Linked DNA regions of Macaca mulatta. The protein of the gene in region 1 purifies or fractionates together with the protein of each later gene. This does not show direct contact. Links are inferred from orthologs where the notes say so. Each region holds a gene or a part of one and is shown in the gene's direction. Other genes may lie near its edges.

The links.
Region 2: the proteins of PPP2R1A (region 1) and PPP2R3C purify together in Homo sapiens (co-immunoprecipitation; 3 studies listed by BioGRID and IntAct, with this or other methods). This does not show direct contact. The link is inferred for Macaca mulatta from reciprocal best matches to the Homo sapiens genes PPP2R1A and PPP2R3C.
Region 3: the proteins of PPP2R1A (region 1) and INTS4 purify together in Homo sapiens (affinity purification with mass spectrometry; 3 studies listed by BioGRID and IntAct, with this or other methods). This does not show direct contact. The link is inferred for Macaca mulatta from reciprocal best matches to the Homo sapiens genes PPP2R1A and INTS4.

What each region holds. Positions count from the first base shown.
Region 1 is NC_133424.1:64,383,860-64,389,447, forward strand, and holds the start of PPP2R1A (serine/threonine-protein phosphatase 2A 65 kDa regulatory subunit A alpha isoform), read left to right. Parts: upstream 1-1,978; 5' UTR 1,979-2,053; coding exon 2,054-2,131; intron 2,132-2,143; exon of another isoform or gene 2,144-4,244; intron 4,245-5,588. UniProt on the Homo sapiens protein: The PR65 subunit of protein phosphatase 2A serves as a scaffolding molecule to coordinate the assembly of the catalytic subunit and a variable regulatory B subunit.
Region 2 is NC_133412.1:108,204,213-108,208,943, reverse strand, and holds the end of PPP2R3C (serine/threonine-protein phosphatase 2A regulatory subunit B'' subunit gamma), read left to right. Parts: intron 1-752; coding exon 753-812; intron 813-2,998; coding exon 2,999-3,187; 3' UTR 3,188-3,304; downstream 3,305-4,731. UniProt on the Homo sapiens protein: May regulate MCM3AP phosphorylation through phosphatase recruitment. May act as a negative regulator of ABCB1 expression and function through the dephosphorylation of ABCB1 by TFPI2/PPP2R3C complex.
Region 3 is NC_133419.1:78,375,989-78,381,100, reverse strand, and holds part of INTS4 (integrator complex subunit 4), read left to right. Parts: intron 1-724; coding exon 725-813; intron 814-1,968; exon of another isoform or gene 1,969-2,137; intron 2,138-3,465; coding exon 3,466-3,586; intron 3,587-4,346; exon of another isoform or gene 4,347-5,112. UniProt on the Homo sapiens protein: Component of the integrator complex, a multiprotein complex that terminates RNA polymerase II (Pol II) transcription in the promoter-proximal region of genes.

The sequences.
Region 1 (5,588 bases):
TTTGCAGTCTTGTTTTGGCATTTTGGAATCCATAATTTGTTTCTATTTTATTTCTGAGATTTATAATGGCTCATAAGCCTTTGAAAATTCCTAGGCCCTAGGCACTTCAAAGGCCCCCAGCCCAACATCCCAAGCAGCCTGACACCAAGACAGGCACGCGTAGCTAAAAAGATCCCTAGCCTCAGAGGCCTTGGGGCTGAGGGGAATCCTGGGAATGTGGAGGGCTGGGACTGAAATATTCAACCCCCATCCCCACTTTTATGAGCAGTAGTTTCCTAACTGGAGTGGGTAAGGGTATCTGAAATAGATGCTGGGCCAGGCACGGTTGCTCACACCTGTAATCCCAGCACTTTGGGAAGCCAAGGCAGGCAGATCACCCTGAGGTCCAGAGTTTGAGACCAGCCTGGCCCAAAGTAGTGAAATCCCGTCTCTACTAAAAATACCAAAATTAGCCGGGCGTTGTGGTGGGCGCCTGTAATCCCAGGTACTCGGGAGTTTGTGGCAGGAGAATTGCTTGAACACGGGAGGCAGAGGCAGCAGTGTGCCAAGATCCGGCCACTGCATTCTAGCCTGGGCGACAGAGCGAGCCTCCGTCTCAAAAAAAAAAAAAAAAAAAAAAAAGAAGAAGAAGAAGGAGAAAAGAAAGAAAGAAAAAGAAAGAAGGAAAGAAAAAATAGATGCTGTGGGTATTCAGAGCTGCCAGAGTGCTAGCTCAGCCCAGCACTTCAAGTAGTAGAATAAAGGAAGAGAGAGCATCCCAGGCCTTACCATCCCCATCCAACTCCCTCAGAGTGGTCCTAAGATTGCGGTGGGGGTGGGGCTTTGTTGAAGAGGTTAAAAACAGAGATTAGTCAGATCCAATCCTGCTCCCACTCTATGGAGGAAACAGATTCGAATGCATAGTCACAGCCCAGGCTCTGGGATTGAGACACATAGATGGGATTGGAGAGACAGAGAGAGAGGTTCTGGTGGCTCTGGAAGCCTAGAGAACAAGAGCATTTACGCAGAGATCTGAGAAGTGAATAAGAAAGGCAGAACGTACAGCTTGGGCAAGGAGGCTTGCTGGCACGAAAACGCAAGATGTGCTCAGGCAGCTCTGATTTTCCAGGACATCAGACAAAAGGTAAAAAACGGAGGCGGGAGACGCGCCTAGACAAGGTATTGAATACCGGCCCGAGGAACTTGGGTTTCATCCAAAGAGCAAGGCAACTGAGCTCAACACAGTGACTCCGTCTCCACAAAAATTCTTTAAAAAACTGGCCGGGCCTAGCGGCGCGAGCCTATAATCCCAGCTATTTCTGCAGACTGAGGCCTGAGGATCGTTTGAGCCCGGGGAGGTCCAGGCGGCAGTGAGCCAAGATCGCGCCACTGCACTCCAGCATGGGGAACAGAGCGAGACCCTGTCTTTAAAAAGGCAAAAAAAAAAAGAAAGAAAAAGAAAAAGAGAGACAGCAGGGCAAGCCGCTCCCTTCTCTGGGCCTTGGCATAAATCAAACACAAATAAAAGTCTCACTCCCTCCTCCGGCCGCGCAAAGGCGCGGGGAGCCAGCCTGCCAGCCAGCGGAACCATGGCCTGGTAACCCAAAACCTGCACACCCTCCCGCTCCCCACATGACGTCACGTATTACCACTTACGCACGCGCAGAAACCATCCCCGGGACCCACCAAAGGTCAGGCTTAGCGTCCTCCCCATATCGCCCCTCATTGGCTAGAAACAACTGCTCGTCCCGGTCGTTGTTAGCAGCGACGAAGGCGGGTTCAATCTTGGTCGCTAGGACACGGCTGACTTCCGCTTTTCTTCCCCCTCCCCTAGGCTCAAACTAGTCAAATCTCGTTCACTCGACCAATGGCAAATGGGAAGTGGGCGGGACTTCACTAGTCCGGACCAAAGAAACGCGGGTTTAGGCCGGCGTAGCGCGGCCAATGGCCGTGGAGCAGCCCCTGTAAACTGGTTCGGGCGCCCCCACGCGTGCTTTTCCTCCTCCTCCCAGCTCTGCCCCCCCGTTTCAGCAGAGCGCTGGCCGCAGTCTGACAGGAACGGGACAGAGCCAAGATGGCGGCGGCCGACGGCGACGACTCGCTGTACCCCATCGCTGTGCTCATAGACGAACTCCGCAACGAGGACGTTCAGGTACGGAGGCTACGGGGGACTTGGGGAAGACGGGGAGGGGTACCTGGGGGCATGGGCAGCCCTCGCGGAGAAGACTCAGCGTTCGCTGGGAGTGGCGGAAGGGGCGGCGGCCAATCAACGTGCGTCTCTTATCTCCCCGGGTGCCCGGACTCATTGAGACGGCGCCCTCGATTGGGTGTTGGCCCAGTGAAGGGCGGGGGCCTGCGCTAGCCTCGAGGGTCCCGGGCCTGCTCAGTGCGCGCGGCGGTCCGCGGTCCGCGATCCGCGGTCCTGGGAGGTTGCGGCCAGGGCTGGGGTCGGCGGACTGGGTCCGGGAGAGAGGAGGGCTCCGTGATTGGCGGCGGCCTCTGAATGGCCCCTTGGAGATGTGGGGCGCTCGTGACTTGCTCCGAGTGGGGGAGAGCCGCCTGATGGGTCAGGACCTGGGAAGGTTTTTTTCTTTTCTGGGTTTCGACTGCTGGCCCAAGTGGGGACCGAGAGGCGAAGGCCTGCCATCCCAATTCCTGCTCTTTCTCCACGTCTCATTTTGGTTTAGGTGTCCTGAGAGGACGGGGACGCAAAAACACCCCCCCCCCCACCAAAGGTGGGGACTAGCCAAATTGAAGAACGAATTACGTTGTAGAAACCCGCTTCCCCATCTCCCCAGATCCTCCCATTGATCAGGATAGGGGGTGAAGGATTTGCTAAGTGGATGAACATTTCATTCTTTCTTTCTTTGAGACAGCCCCTGTGTCGCCCAGGCTGGGGTGCAGTGGCGCGATCTTGGCTCAGTGCAACCTCTGCGTCCCGGGTTCAAACGATCCTCGCATCTCAGCCCCCTAAGTAGCTCAGATTACCGGCGCGAGCCACCATGCCCATCTAATTTTTGTGTTTTTAGTAGAGACGGGTTTCGCCATGTTGGCCAGGCTTGGTCTGGAACTCCTGACCTCAAGCGATCCACCCGCCTCGGCCTCCCAAAGTGTTGGAATTACAGGCGTGAGCCACGGCGCCCAGCCCGGATGAACATTCCTGGTTATGGGATGCGGTGGCCCAAGGCTCTGAGCAGGGCTGCCACCCGCTGTGTGACCTTGTGCAAATTACTTCACCGCTTTGGGCCTCCGTGTTCCATAAAATATGGGCTAATTGTAGTCCTGGTCTTGCTGGAGGGACTTGTGAGGGACTGAACGAATTATGGCACAAATAAAAAGTCGAATGGTGTCAGACCTGTTGTAAGGGCCTGATACATATTAACTGTGATTATTGGGAGTGGTGATTAAAGAGGTCCTATCCTCCCTTTAGGTCTCAGTTTTCGCATTTATAAAATTGAACAAGGTGCACTGGGTAACCTGCCAAACGTGGGTCCCGCCTCCTAGGTTCCTGGTATATCACTGTTTCTGGGGGCAGACCGGCTGTGGTTGTATTCCTGGCCCTTCCACTTCTCACTGATTGACATGCGCAAGTTAGTTAATCTCTCTAAGCCTATTTCCTCTTCTCTTTTATGGGGATAATTACCTAGTTCGTAGGGCAGTTGTATGAATTCTTTTGTTCAGTAAACACGTGCCATGTATCAGGTATGATGCTGGGGATATAGTGGAGACACCAGTTGCTATACAGGATTCAGGTGTGAAACAGGTCAACAGAGTGTGTGAAAAGTGATGGGAAGGAAACAAACAGGATGTTGTGGCAGTGAATCCATATTGAATTGGCCTTCTATTCTGTGCAGGTCACTGTTATAAGCACTGGCATGCAGTAGGGGAGTTTACTTTGCAGTGAGGAGAGATAATAAACAGAGTATACTGGAGATAAGCAGTAGGGAGATAAATAAAAATAAGAGAGATGGGGGATGCAGGGGTTTTTTTTGTTTGTTTTTGAGACGGAGTTTCACTCTTGTTGCCCAGGCTGGAGTGCAGTGGCGTGATCTTGTCTCACTGCAACCTCTGCCTCCCGGGTTCAAACGATTCTCCTGCCTCGGCCTCCCAAGTAGCTGGGATTACAGGCATGTGCCACCACTCCCAACTAATTTTGTATTTTTAGTAGAGATGGGGTTTCTCCGTGTTGGTCAGGCTGGTCTCAAATTCCCGACCTCAGGTAATCCACCCACCTTGACCTCCCAAAGTGCTGGGATTACAGGCATGTAATCCCACTGTGCCCGGCCTGGGGGATGCAGTTTTAAAGTGTGGTGAGGGGAGGCCTTGTTGAGATCAAGTTTGAGAACACACCTAAAGGCAGAGGGCACAGCAAGTACAAAGTGGGGTGGGGCAGATCCATTTTAAGTAGGCCAATCAGGCAAGGCCCCTCTGAGGATGCAGAATTTAAGAAGAGATGGAAAGAAGGTGGGAAAGAGCTGCCCAGGAAGAGGGAACAGATATGGCCATAGTTTTTTGTTGTTGTTGTTTTGTTTTGTTTTTTGAGATGGAGTCTCACTCTGTTGCCCAGGCTGGAGTGCACTGACGTGATCTCGGCTCACTGCAACCTCTGTCTCCCGGGTTCAAGCAATTCTCCCACCTCAGTCTCCTGAGTAGCTGGGACTACAGGCCCAGGCCACCACCCCTGGCTAATTTTTGGGTGTGTGTTTTTAGAAGAGACTGGGTTTCCCCGTGTTGGCCAGGCTGGTCTCAGACTCCTGATCTCAGGTGATCCTCCTGCCTCAGCCTCCCACAGTGCTGGAATTACAGGTGTGAGCCACTGTGCCCAGCCAGTTTGTTTTTTTTTAACTCCAGGATCACTTCCTTCAGCTGTCTATCATTCCATCCTTCCATCCATCCATCCATCCACTAACCAGCAAACATTTGTAGGGAGTTGTTTTTGTGCCAGGATCAGAGCTAGGCAGCTTACCGGTTTATTCTAAAGGATATTACAAAGGATACAGATGAAGACACACATGGGGTGAGGTTTGGGGGAAGATGTGTGGTGCTTCCATGTCCTCCCTGGGCATTCCACCTTCTAGGAGCCACTAGGTGTTCATCTGTCTGGAAGCTCCTATGGACTACTTTTGTGCTACAGCCCAGAGTTGCGTAGTTGTAACAGAGATGGTCTGGCCCTCAAAGCTTAAAATATTTGCTTTCTAGCCCGTTGCAGGGAAAAAATTGCCAACCTCTGACTTAAACCATCTGAATAACAAATTACTGGGTGCTTGCTCAATGCTAGGTACAGTGCAGAGGAATAACACTGACAATCTTATTGAATTCTCATAATCACTCTTTGAAGTAGGTCCTGTCCTTGTCCACACTTTCCAGATGAGGAAACTGAAGCACCATAAATAACGTGGCCAAAGCTGTGTAGCTGAGAAGTGGAGGAGTCAGGAAAGGAAGTAGGACCTAAGGGTGGAATAGAGTCTGGGGTGGGACACACGGTTGCTGATTATATTCATATGCCAGATATTTTAGTTGTGTCTGAGATAGTTCAGGATACTAGAAGGAACACAGGATATGAAATCCTATAGTCTTGATTTATTTATTCGGCAAATATTTATCAACAC
Region 2 (4,731 bases), on another chromosome or scaffold:
AGTGATAAAGCTGGGCCTGGATGATTCCCTCTAGATCATACCATCCAAGCCTATTACTATATTAACATAGCATGTACTCAGATGCTTATCTACTTCAAAGAGATTCCTTTATGGATACTCTGATTATCAGTGGTAACACATACGGAGTAGGCATTAGGAACAAAGTTAGTTGACTATTCACCAAGAATTTTAAACTTCACATTTCCACTGAATAATGCTCACCTGAAGTATTTTGTAGTCCCACTGGATGACAGCTGTTTTTTCATTTTTTTGTTAAAGTTTATAAAAAGGAAGAGTTTTGGGAGGTCTACCTCCATTTCTTGTATTACATAGAAAGCAAAGTGTAGGGTAGGAAGGGAGACAGTAGATTGGGGGTCTTAATAGTGAAGGCAGGAATAACATTCGTGGAAAATGAGAGGAGCAGATCAAACAGAATAATTGTGATGCCATGTTGAGGGCCCATTTGAGGTTGGAGAACATTCCTATGTAGACGCAGCAATCTGTAGTCTTTTTATTTTTTTTCCTGAAGTTCTCAGTAGTTAAGATACAGGTCTAAAAAGGTCAATACACTGAGAATTTAGGTTTTGCTCATTGATATGGAATAAGGTCAAGAAAGCTAAAAAGATTGTCAAGAGAATGATGAGGTTTGTGGTCTGATAGGAAAGGAACTATAAGTAGAAAGGGGTTGTGGGGCAAGAGAGGGGATGTTGTGTATTTCATTTTTTACTTAGATTTATTTCTATCAAATACAGGCCATACAGGAACTAATGAAAATCCACGGACAAGATCCTGTTTCATTTCAAGATGTCAAGGTTATCTTTTCCTTTAATTTACATATTACCAGATAATTGTGAGATAGTCATTTGTATTACATGAAATTTTATATGAAAGCAAGTAATGAAGTACTATTTGAATCAAGTATTTGCTTTTTGTTCTGAACTGATATTTAAATCATTACGAACTGAGACCACATTTGGACTATTTATATAGTTTATAATTTTAGTATTGTCATCACTATGTTCTCATTGGAGGCATTCATTCATTTTAATTGAAAATTAAGACAGTCAGGGGGCCGGGCGCAGTGGCTCACGCTTGTAATCCCAGCACTTTGGGAGGTCAAGGCGGGCGGATCACCCGAGGTCAGGAGTTCAAGACCAGCCTGGTCAACACGGTGAAATCCCGTCTCTACTAAAAATACAAAAATTAGCTGGGTGTGGTGGTGCATGCATGTAATCCTGGCTACTCGGAAGGCTGAGGCAGGAGAATCGTTTGAGCCCGGGAGGTGGAGGTTGCAGTGAGCTGAGATCGCGCCACTGCACTCCAGCCTGGGCAACAAGAGTAAAACTCCGACTCAAAAAAAAAAAAAGAAAATTAAGACAGTCAGTACAGTCTACATCCTACGGCAGTCTATTCAACTGTAAACTGAATTTTTACCTTGGAAACTGTTTAGGTTCAGGCACTTTTTTTTAGTATGCTACCTCAAAGAGCCTGTTCACCTGAGTAATTTTACTACAAATTTTATTTTACTACAAATTTTGTAGTAATTTTACTACAAAAAGATTAGAAAACATGTACTAATTCCCTGTAAATATCTGTTGTACACTTCATAATATAGAAGGAGGTCTTCTATATGTTCCAGTAAGTTTTAGCAGCATTTAGCTTCTTTTTGGATATCTAATGCATATCCAGAAAGAACTCCTCTCCTATCCTAATAAAATGTTGACATCAATATTGGAAATGAAGCTTTGTCACTATCTCTGAACCATTTAGATGTTTAATTGAGTTGAACCATTAGCAAAAAAAATTAAACCAAACCCTTGTTAGCCGAGTGTGGTGGTACGCAGCTGTAATCCCAGCTACTCGGGAGGCCGAGGCAGGAGAATGGCTTGAACCTGGGAGGCAAAGGTTGCAGTGAGCCAAAATCACACTACTGCACTCCAGCCTGGGTGACAGAGGGACACTCCATCTCACACAAAAAAAGAAGGGGCTGGGCACGGTGGCTTACGTCTGTAATCCCAGCACTTTGGAAGGCCAAAGCAGGTGGATCACCTGAGGTCAGGAGTTTGAGGACAGCCTGACCAGTATGGAGAAACCCCGTCTCTACTAAAAATACAAAAATTGGCCGGATGTGGTGGTGTATGCCTGTAATCCCAGCTACTTGGGAGGCTGAGGCAGGAGAATCGCTTGAACCCAGGAGGCAGAGGCTGCGGTAAGCCGAGATCACGCCATTGCACTCCAGCCTGGGCAACAAGAGTGAAACTCTGTCTCAAAAAAAAAAACAAGGCTGGGTGCAGTGGCTCACGCGTATAATTCCGGCACTTTGGGAGGCCAAGGCGGGCAGATTACTTAAGGTCAGGAGCTTGAGACCAGACTGGCCAATATGGTGAAACCCCATCTCTACTAAAAATACAAAAATTAGCTGGGTGTGGTGGTGTGCACCTCTAGTCCCAGCTACTCGGGAGGCTGAGGCAGAAGAATTGCTTGAACCCCGGAGGCGGAGGTTGCAGTAAGCCGAGATTGCTCTACTGCACTCCAGCCTGGATGACAGAGCGAGACTCCATCTCAAAAACAAAACAAAACAACAAAAACTACAGACAAAACCTTGTTTCACCACCAATTAGAAAGGCAATAGAAAAATATGTAAGAAATTAGTTAACATGCAGTCCCTGAACACTGCATTAAATAGTTCTGCCACTAATTACCTATGTAGCTGGATTAGATGCTGAGCCTTGGTTTCTTCATCTACAAAATGAAGGACAGCTATCACATAGCTAAGGAGTTATCCAATAAAATTGTGTGATTGTAGGTAGAGAAAAGGAAACTGCCTGTTAAATGGAAAAGAAAAAAAGTAGAACAAAAAATTAACATAAGCCCAAGTGGCAGCCCTCAATTTTATTCCTCCATACTTCAGTGGATGCAGACAGCCCTGAATTTTGGATCACGACGTGTGATAGAAATTAAGTGGATCAAATTTCATTGTATTTTTTTTCTCTTGCAGGATGAAATCTTTGACATGGTAAAACCAAAGGATCCTTTGAAAATCTCTCTTCAGGATTTAATCAACAGTAATCAAGGAGACACAGTAACCACCATTCTAATCGATTTGAATGGCTTCTGGACTTATGAGAACAGAGAAGCTCTTGTTGCAAATGACAGTGAAAACTCTACAGACCTTGATGATACATGATCTCTGAAAGACTAGACTGTCTTATATTAAGAGATACTTGAATGCTGCATGTAAAGCCTTTAAAGCAAAATCCTCAGAATGGTCTAAATAAAACACTTGATATGCCTAGAGAACACAGCAAATGTTTTGGTTACTGGAATTCTGGTTGCAATAGTTTAGAAGCAATAGGACCAAATATTGCTTGTTAGGAGGTAGGGTAAGTTCTGGTTCCTTTTAGTTCAAAGATGGGAAGTGTGATTTGCTGTAGATAGATGATGTTCAGTTTAAACATGTATAATCTTCAGAGATGAAGTTTCCATGGAATATTTCTGACAGTCATTTAGAATGTGAATATTTGACTGACAGTGTATATATATACACACACATAGATTTTATATATGTGTATATATATAAAATCTCAAAGATTACAAACTTTCCCATTCATTAGAGTAGAGCCATTTTATTTCTGGGTTAGGATTAGGATTTTTTTTTTTTTAGGGGGTTCAAGTGATTCTCCTGCCTCAGCCTCCTGAGTAGCTGGGATTATAGGCGCCTGCCAACACACCTGGCTCATTTTTGTATTTTAGCAGAGCCAGGGTTTCACCATGTTAGCCAGGCTGGTCTCGAACTCCTGACCTGAACTGATCTGCCTGCCTCGGCCTCGGCCTCCCAAAGTGCTGGGATTACAGATGTGAGCCATGGCACCCAGCCTTTTTGTTTTTCGTTTTTTGTTTTTTTTTTCCTTGAGACAGTCTCCCTCTGTTGTCCAGGCTGGAGTGCAGTGGCATGATCTCTGCTCACTGCAGCCTCCACCTCCCAGCTTCAGGCAATTCTCCTGACTCAGTCTCCTGAGTAGCTGGGACTTCAGGTGTGCACCACCATGCCTGGCTAATTTTTGTATTTTTAGTAGAGATGGGGTCTCGCCATGTTGGCCAGGCTAGTCTCGAACTCCTGACCTCAGGTGATCCACCCGCCTCAGCCTCCCACAGTGCTGAGATTATAGCCACCATGATATGTGAGCCATGCCCAGCCTTGTTCTTTCTTTTAATTGGATGTTTTAATAAAATGTATTCAAACTAGTGTTTTACTTTCATGAAAATCATTGGTATAAAAAATTTGTCGGCCGGGCACGGTGGCTCATGCCTGTAATCCCAACACTTTGGGAGGCCGAGGTGGGCAGACCACGAGGTCAGGAGATCGAGACTATCCTGAATAACACGGTGAAACCCCGTCTCTACTAAAAATACAAAAAATTAGCTGGGCATGGTGGTGGGCGCCTGTAGTCCCAGCTGCTCGGGAGGCTGAGGCAGGAGAATGGCATGAACCCAGGAGGCGGAACTTGCAGTGAGCCAAAATCGCGCTACTGCACTCCAGCCTGGGCGACAGAGCAAGACTCTGTCTCAAAAAAAAAAAAAAAAAAAAAAGTCTAGTTTTATTAACCAGTACCAGAGTTACATTTTATAAAACTTAATTCCAAGCCTGGACAACATGGCAAAACGAAGTCTGTACAAAAAATAAATAAAAAACATTAGCTAGGCATGGTGGTATGAGCCTGTCATCCCTGA
Region 3 (5,112 bases), on another chromosome or scaffold:
AGAGGAAGGAAGGAACGTTAGTTGGCTGATTCAGATGTTTGGTGGCATAAGAGTAGTCTAAACAAGCAGTAATGAGAGCCTCAAGGGAGTGAGGATGGATTGATAGTGTAGGATTTAAGACATAAGGTAGAATTTGGTTCCTTAGTGAGTTCATATTTGGATGTGTGGAGTATAAAAGTTGGATGGGACATCCATGAAGAGAATTCCAGCCATAGGTAGTTATAAAGGTCTGGAGATCAGGAGAAATCAGAGCTAAGGGTAGGTTATTCAGAGCCATCAGTATTTAGGGAGTATGGGGCTACCCAGAAAGAGTGAGTGGATTGAAATGGAGGCCAATGATTTCAGACCAAAGTAAAGAGAAGTGTGTGCTTTGATTTTTACAGGTGGAGGGAAAAACCCATATTTGGTATTTGAGCCTGTGAAAATAGTACTGTGGGCTCCCAGCATGCTTTGCTGGGTTTGATGCTATTCTAAATGTTTTTATGCCGTCAGTCTGTGATTCTCCTTTCAGACTTGGGGTAGGAGGGTGCCTAGTCAGATTATAGCCAGAGCAGCTGACAGAGGTCAAGATTCATTGTTCGGCAAAGATTCAAGAAGTTAAAAACCACACACAAGTATTTTACTGGGCATCCTTATCCAACCACCCTATCTTCACTTTGAAAATAGTTTAAACATTGCCTGAGAGGACACAGAGCTAATAGACTTTTGGAATTCTTCTTTGCAGGCCTGTAAATTGCTCTCTGATGACTATGAACAAGTGCGCAGTGCTGCAGTCCAGCTTATCTGGGTTGTCAGTCAGCTCTATCCTGAAAGGTCAGTGTGGGTGTAAGCTGACTTTTGTTGATTGTGAAGCCATTTTCCTCTCCTCTCACCGTGCAGAAAGCCCACTTCTAGAAAAGAAATGTTGGTTAGATTTTTGGAAGGCAATGGGGAGTAAGGGGCTGAAAATCAGATTGCCTGGTCCTCATTTTTCATCTCTGATAGGAACTTTCTGTACACCCTTAGAAAGATACTTCACTTCTTTGGTCCTAACCTTGTCATCTATAAGTGAAGAAATTGGAATATCTTTCTTAAATGGTTTTCAGTACTTTACAAAAAAATCTTTAAAATTGTTTGGGACCCATTTTAGTTTGGTTTGTGCCAAATGCCAGATAAAGATACCAGATGAGTTTGAGAATAGTGATCTCTTATGTACTGTTTTCCTGGTTAAAAACATTTTCACAGCAATTAAATTATTATTTTCACAGTGCTTCTTTGAGGAGGTAGGCAATATTATTATATTGTATAAAATAGAATATTTTCTTTATATTTCTTTATATTTTATTTATAAATATTTATAGAATATTTTATTTTTCCTCGTATAGGAAAAAGAGGTGTTTTTTCCTCTTCATTAAACTGCCAAAATTTGAAAACCAGAATGAATTAATAAACCTGTAGGAGTAGGCTCCATTTGTAGTGTTTTAGGACTTAGACACATACAAAGAAAAGGGCTAACTGGAAATTGTCTCTTTTTTTAGGACTGGATTGACGAGTAAGTTTTATCTTGATTTATTCTGAGATTTACTGTATTTATAGAAGTTCAGTCAGGGCACGGTGGTGCCTGTAATCCCAGCACTTTGGAAGGCCGAGGTGAGTGGATCACCTGAGGTCAGGAGTTCGAGACCAGCCTGGCCAACATGGTGAAATCTCGTCTCTACTAAAAATAAAAATATTAGCCAAGCATGGTGGTACATGCCTGTAATCCCAACTACTAGGGAGGCTGAGGCAGGAGAATTGCTTGGACCCTGGACGTGGAGATTGCACTGAGCCGAGATCATACCACTGTACTCCAACCTGGGTGACAGAGCAAGACACTCTCTCTAAAAAAAAAAAAGAAGTTCAGTTATAGGAGATAATAAGCTTAAGGATATGAAATATTCGGTGGAAGCTAGTTTTTGATAATTTCATAAATCTTTGAACCTTTGGTGGGTTACATGTTTTCTTTTTTTTTTTTTTAAAGGCAGAGTCTTGCCCTGTGGCCCAGGCTGGAGTGCAGTGATGTAATCTCAACTTATTGCAACCTCCATCTCCTGGGTTGAAGCAGTTCTCGTGCCTGAGCCTCCCAAATAGCTGGAATTACAGGTGCACACCACCACACCTGGCTCATTTTTTGTATTTTTAGTAGAGATGAGGTTTTGTCATGTTGGCTAGGCTTGTCTCAAGCTCCTGGCTTCAGGTAATCTGCCTGCCTCAGTATCTCAATGTGCTGGGATTACAGGTGTGAACCACCACACCTGGCTGACCCTTTGGTGGGTTACACACTTTTATTCAGTATATTGAAAATTTGCACCTGGGTGCAGTGGCTCACCCCTGTAATCCCAGCACTTTGGGAGGCCGAGGCGGGTGGATTGCTTGATCTCAGGAGTTTGAGGTCAATCTGGGCAACATGGTGAACCATTTCTACTAAAAATGTACAAAATTAGCTGGGTGTGGTGGCATGCTTTTGTAGTCCCAGCTACTCAGGAGAGTAAACTGGGAGGACCACCTGGGAAGTTGACACTGTGGTGATCAGTGATCATGCCACTGCACTCCAGCCTGGGTGACAGAAGTGAGACCCTCTCTCAAAAAAAAAAAAAAAAAAAGCATAATTTGCAACGCAACTGAAAGAGTTGGTTTTTACTCCCAGCGTGATTTGTTTATTCTGAACTGTATTTAATCATTCTAGGATTTGAACTATTCAGTTATCATTTTCGTGTGTGTCAGTCTTCATTGACTGTTCTCAGTTTATTGAGCCTGCAGCCTTGCTTACTTATGTATTTATTTGTTTATTATTATTATTTTTTGCGATGGAGTCTCGCTCTGTTATCCAGTCTGGAGTGCAGTGGCACTATCTTGGATCACTGTAACCTCCACCTTCCAGGTTCAAGTGATTCTTCTGCCTCAGCCTCCTGAGTAGCTGGGATTACAGGCGTGTGTCACCACACCCGACTAATTTTTATATTTTTAGTAGAGAGGGGGTTTCGCCATGTTGGCCAGGCTGGTCTCGAACTCATGACCTCAAGTTATGCACCTGCCTCAGACTCCAAAAGTGCTGGGATTACAGGCATGAGCAACTGTGCCCAGACTGTATTTATTTTTTGAGACAGGGTCTTGCTCTGTCACCCAGGCTGGAGTGCCGTGGTGTAATCTCAGCTCACTTCTACTTTCACCTCCAGAGCTAAAGTTATCTTCCCACTTTAGCCTCCCAAGTAGCTGGGACTATTGGCGCATGCCACCATGCCTAGCTAATTTTTGTATTTTTTTTGTAGAGATGAGGTTTTGCCATGTTGCTCAGGCTGGTCTTAAACTCTTGGGCTCAAGCAATCTACCTGCATGGGCCTCCCAAAGTGCTGGATTATAGATGTGAGCCACTGTGCCTGGCCTGAGCCTGCAAACTTAGGATCATGTTTTGTTCTAAGTGATTTCATTTATTTTCTTTTAATTTAGCATTGTCCCAATTCCTTCTTCTAATGAAGAAATACGCTTAGTTGATGATGCGTTTGGAAAAATTTGTCACATGGTCAGTGATGGCTCTTGGGTGGTTCGTGTTCAGGCAGCAAAACTGTTGGTAAGTTATACTTTTTGTGTATGTATGTATGCATGTATGTATTTATTTATTTTCTTTTATGTAGAAATAGGGCCTTTGTGGCCCAGGTTGGTCTCAAACTCTTGGCCTCAAGCAATCCTCCTGCCTCAGCCTCCCAAAAGACTGGGCTTATAGGCCAGGTGTGGTGGCTTACACCTGTAATTCCAGCACTTTGGAAGGCCAAGGCGGGCAGATCATGAGGTCAGGAGATTGAGATCATCCTGACCAACATGGTGAAATCCCGTCCCCACTAAAAATGCAAAAATTAGCTGGGCATGGTGGTGCACTCCTGTAATCCCAGCTACTCGGGAGGCTGAGGCAGGAGAATCGCTTGAATCTGGGAGGCAGACGTTGCAGTGAGCCGAGATCACGCCACTGCACTCCAGCCTGGCGTCAAGGGGGAAGACTCTCGTCTCAAAAAAAAAAAAAAAAAAAAAAAAAAAAAAGACTGGGATTATAGATGTGAGCCATTACACCCGGTCAATAATCCTTTTTTTAAATGGACACATTGCTCGTTAAGTTTTTACAAACATTTTGAGAAACTACAGATGGGGCAGTGTGACCTGAATTTAAAACCCCAGAATTTCTTTTTCTTTTTCTTTTCTTGAGACAGGGTCTTACTCTGTTGCTCAGGCAGGAGTGCAGTGGTGCAGTCACGGCTCACTGCAGCTTTGACCTGCCAGGCTCAAGCGATCCCTCCACCTGAGCCTCCTGAGTAGCTGGGACTACAGGCATGTGCCACCCTGCCTGGCTAATTTTGTATTTTTTGTAGAGATGGGGTCTTCCTTTGTGCCCAGGCTGGTCTTGAATTCCTAGGCTCAAGTGATCCTTCTGCTTTGGCCTCCCAAATTGTTGGGATTACAGGTTTAAGCCACTATTCCCAGTCCCAGAATTTCTTAATATAGAAAGAAATAGTTCACTCTCCTGTAGAGAAATAGCCTTTTAGAACTAGAAAGAATCTTAAAACATAATTCTATTAACCCTATTAGGAACCGAGATAGCCAGAGCCTAGAGAAAAAGGAAAATAATTTAAAAAAAAGTTTTTCCCATTTATTAAGCACTTGTTATGTCCTAGTTCAGGAGGCTCAAACCCCTGGGCTGTGGACTAGTCCTGGTCCATGGCTTGTTAGGAACCAGGCCACACAGCAGGAGGTGAGTGGTGGGAGAGCAAGCATTACTGCCTGAGCTCTGCCTACTGTCAGATCAGCAGCTGCATTAGATTATCATAGGGGTGTGAACCCTATTGTGAACTGAGCATGTGCGGGATCTAGGTTTCATGCTCCTTGTGAGAATCTAATGCCTGATGATCTGAGTTGGAACAGTTTCATCCCAAAATCACCCTGCTCCACCACCCTCTCTGGTTTCTTCCATGAAACCGAACCCTGGTGCCAAAAAGGTAGGGGACTGCTATTTTAGATAATTTGAAGGAGGCCCTTTACATACATTTTCTCATTATAGTAATCCTGCAAGATAGGTGCCATTACCCAGCTGGGGCATGGTGGCTCATG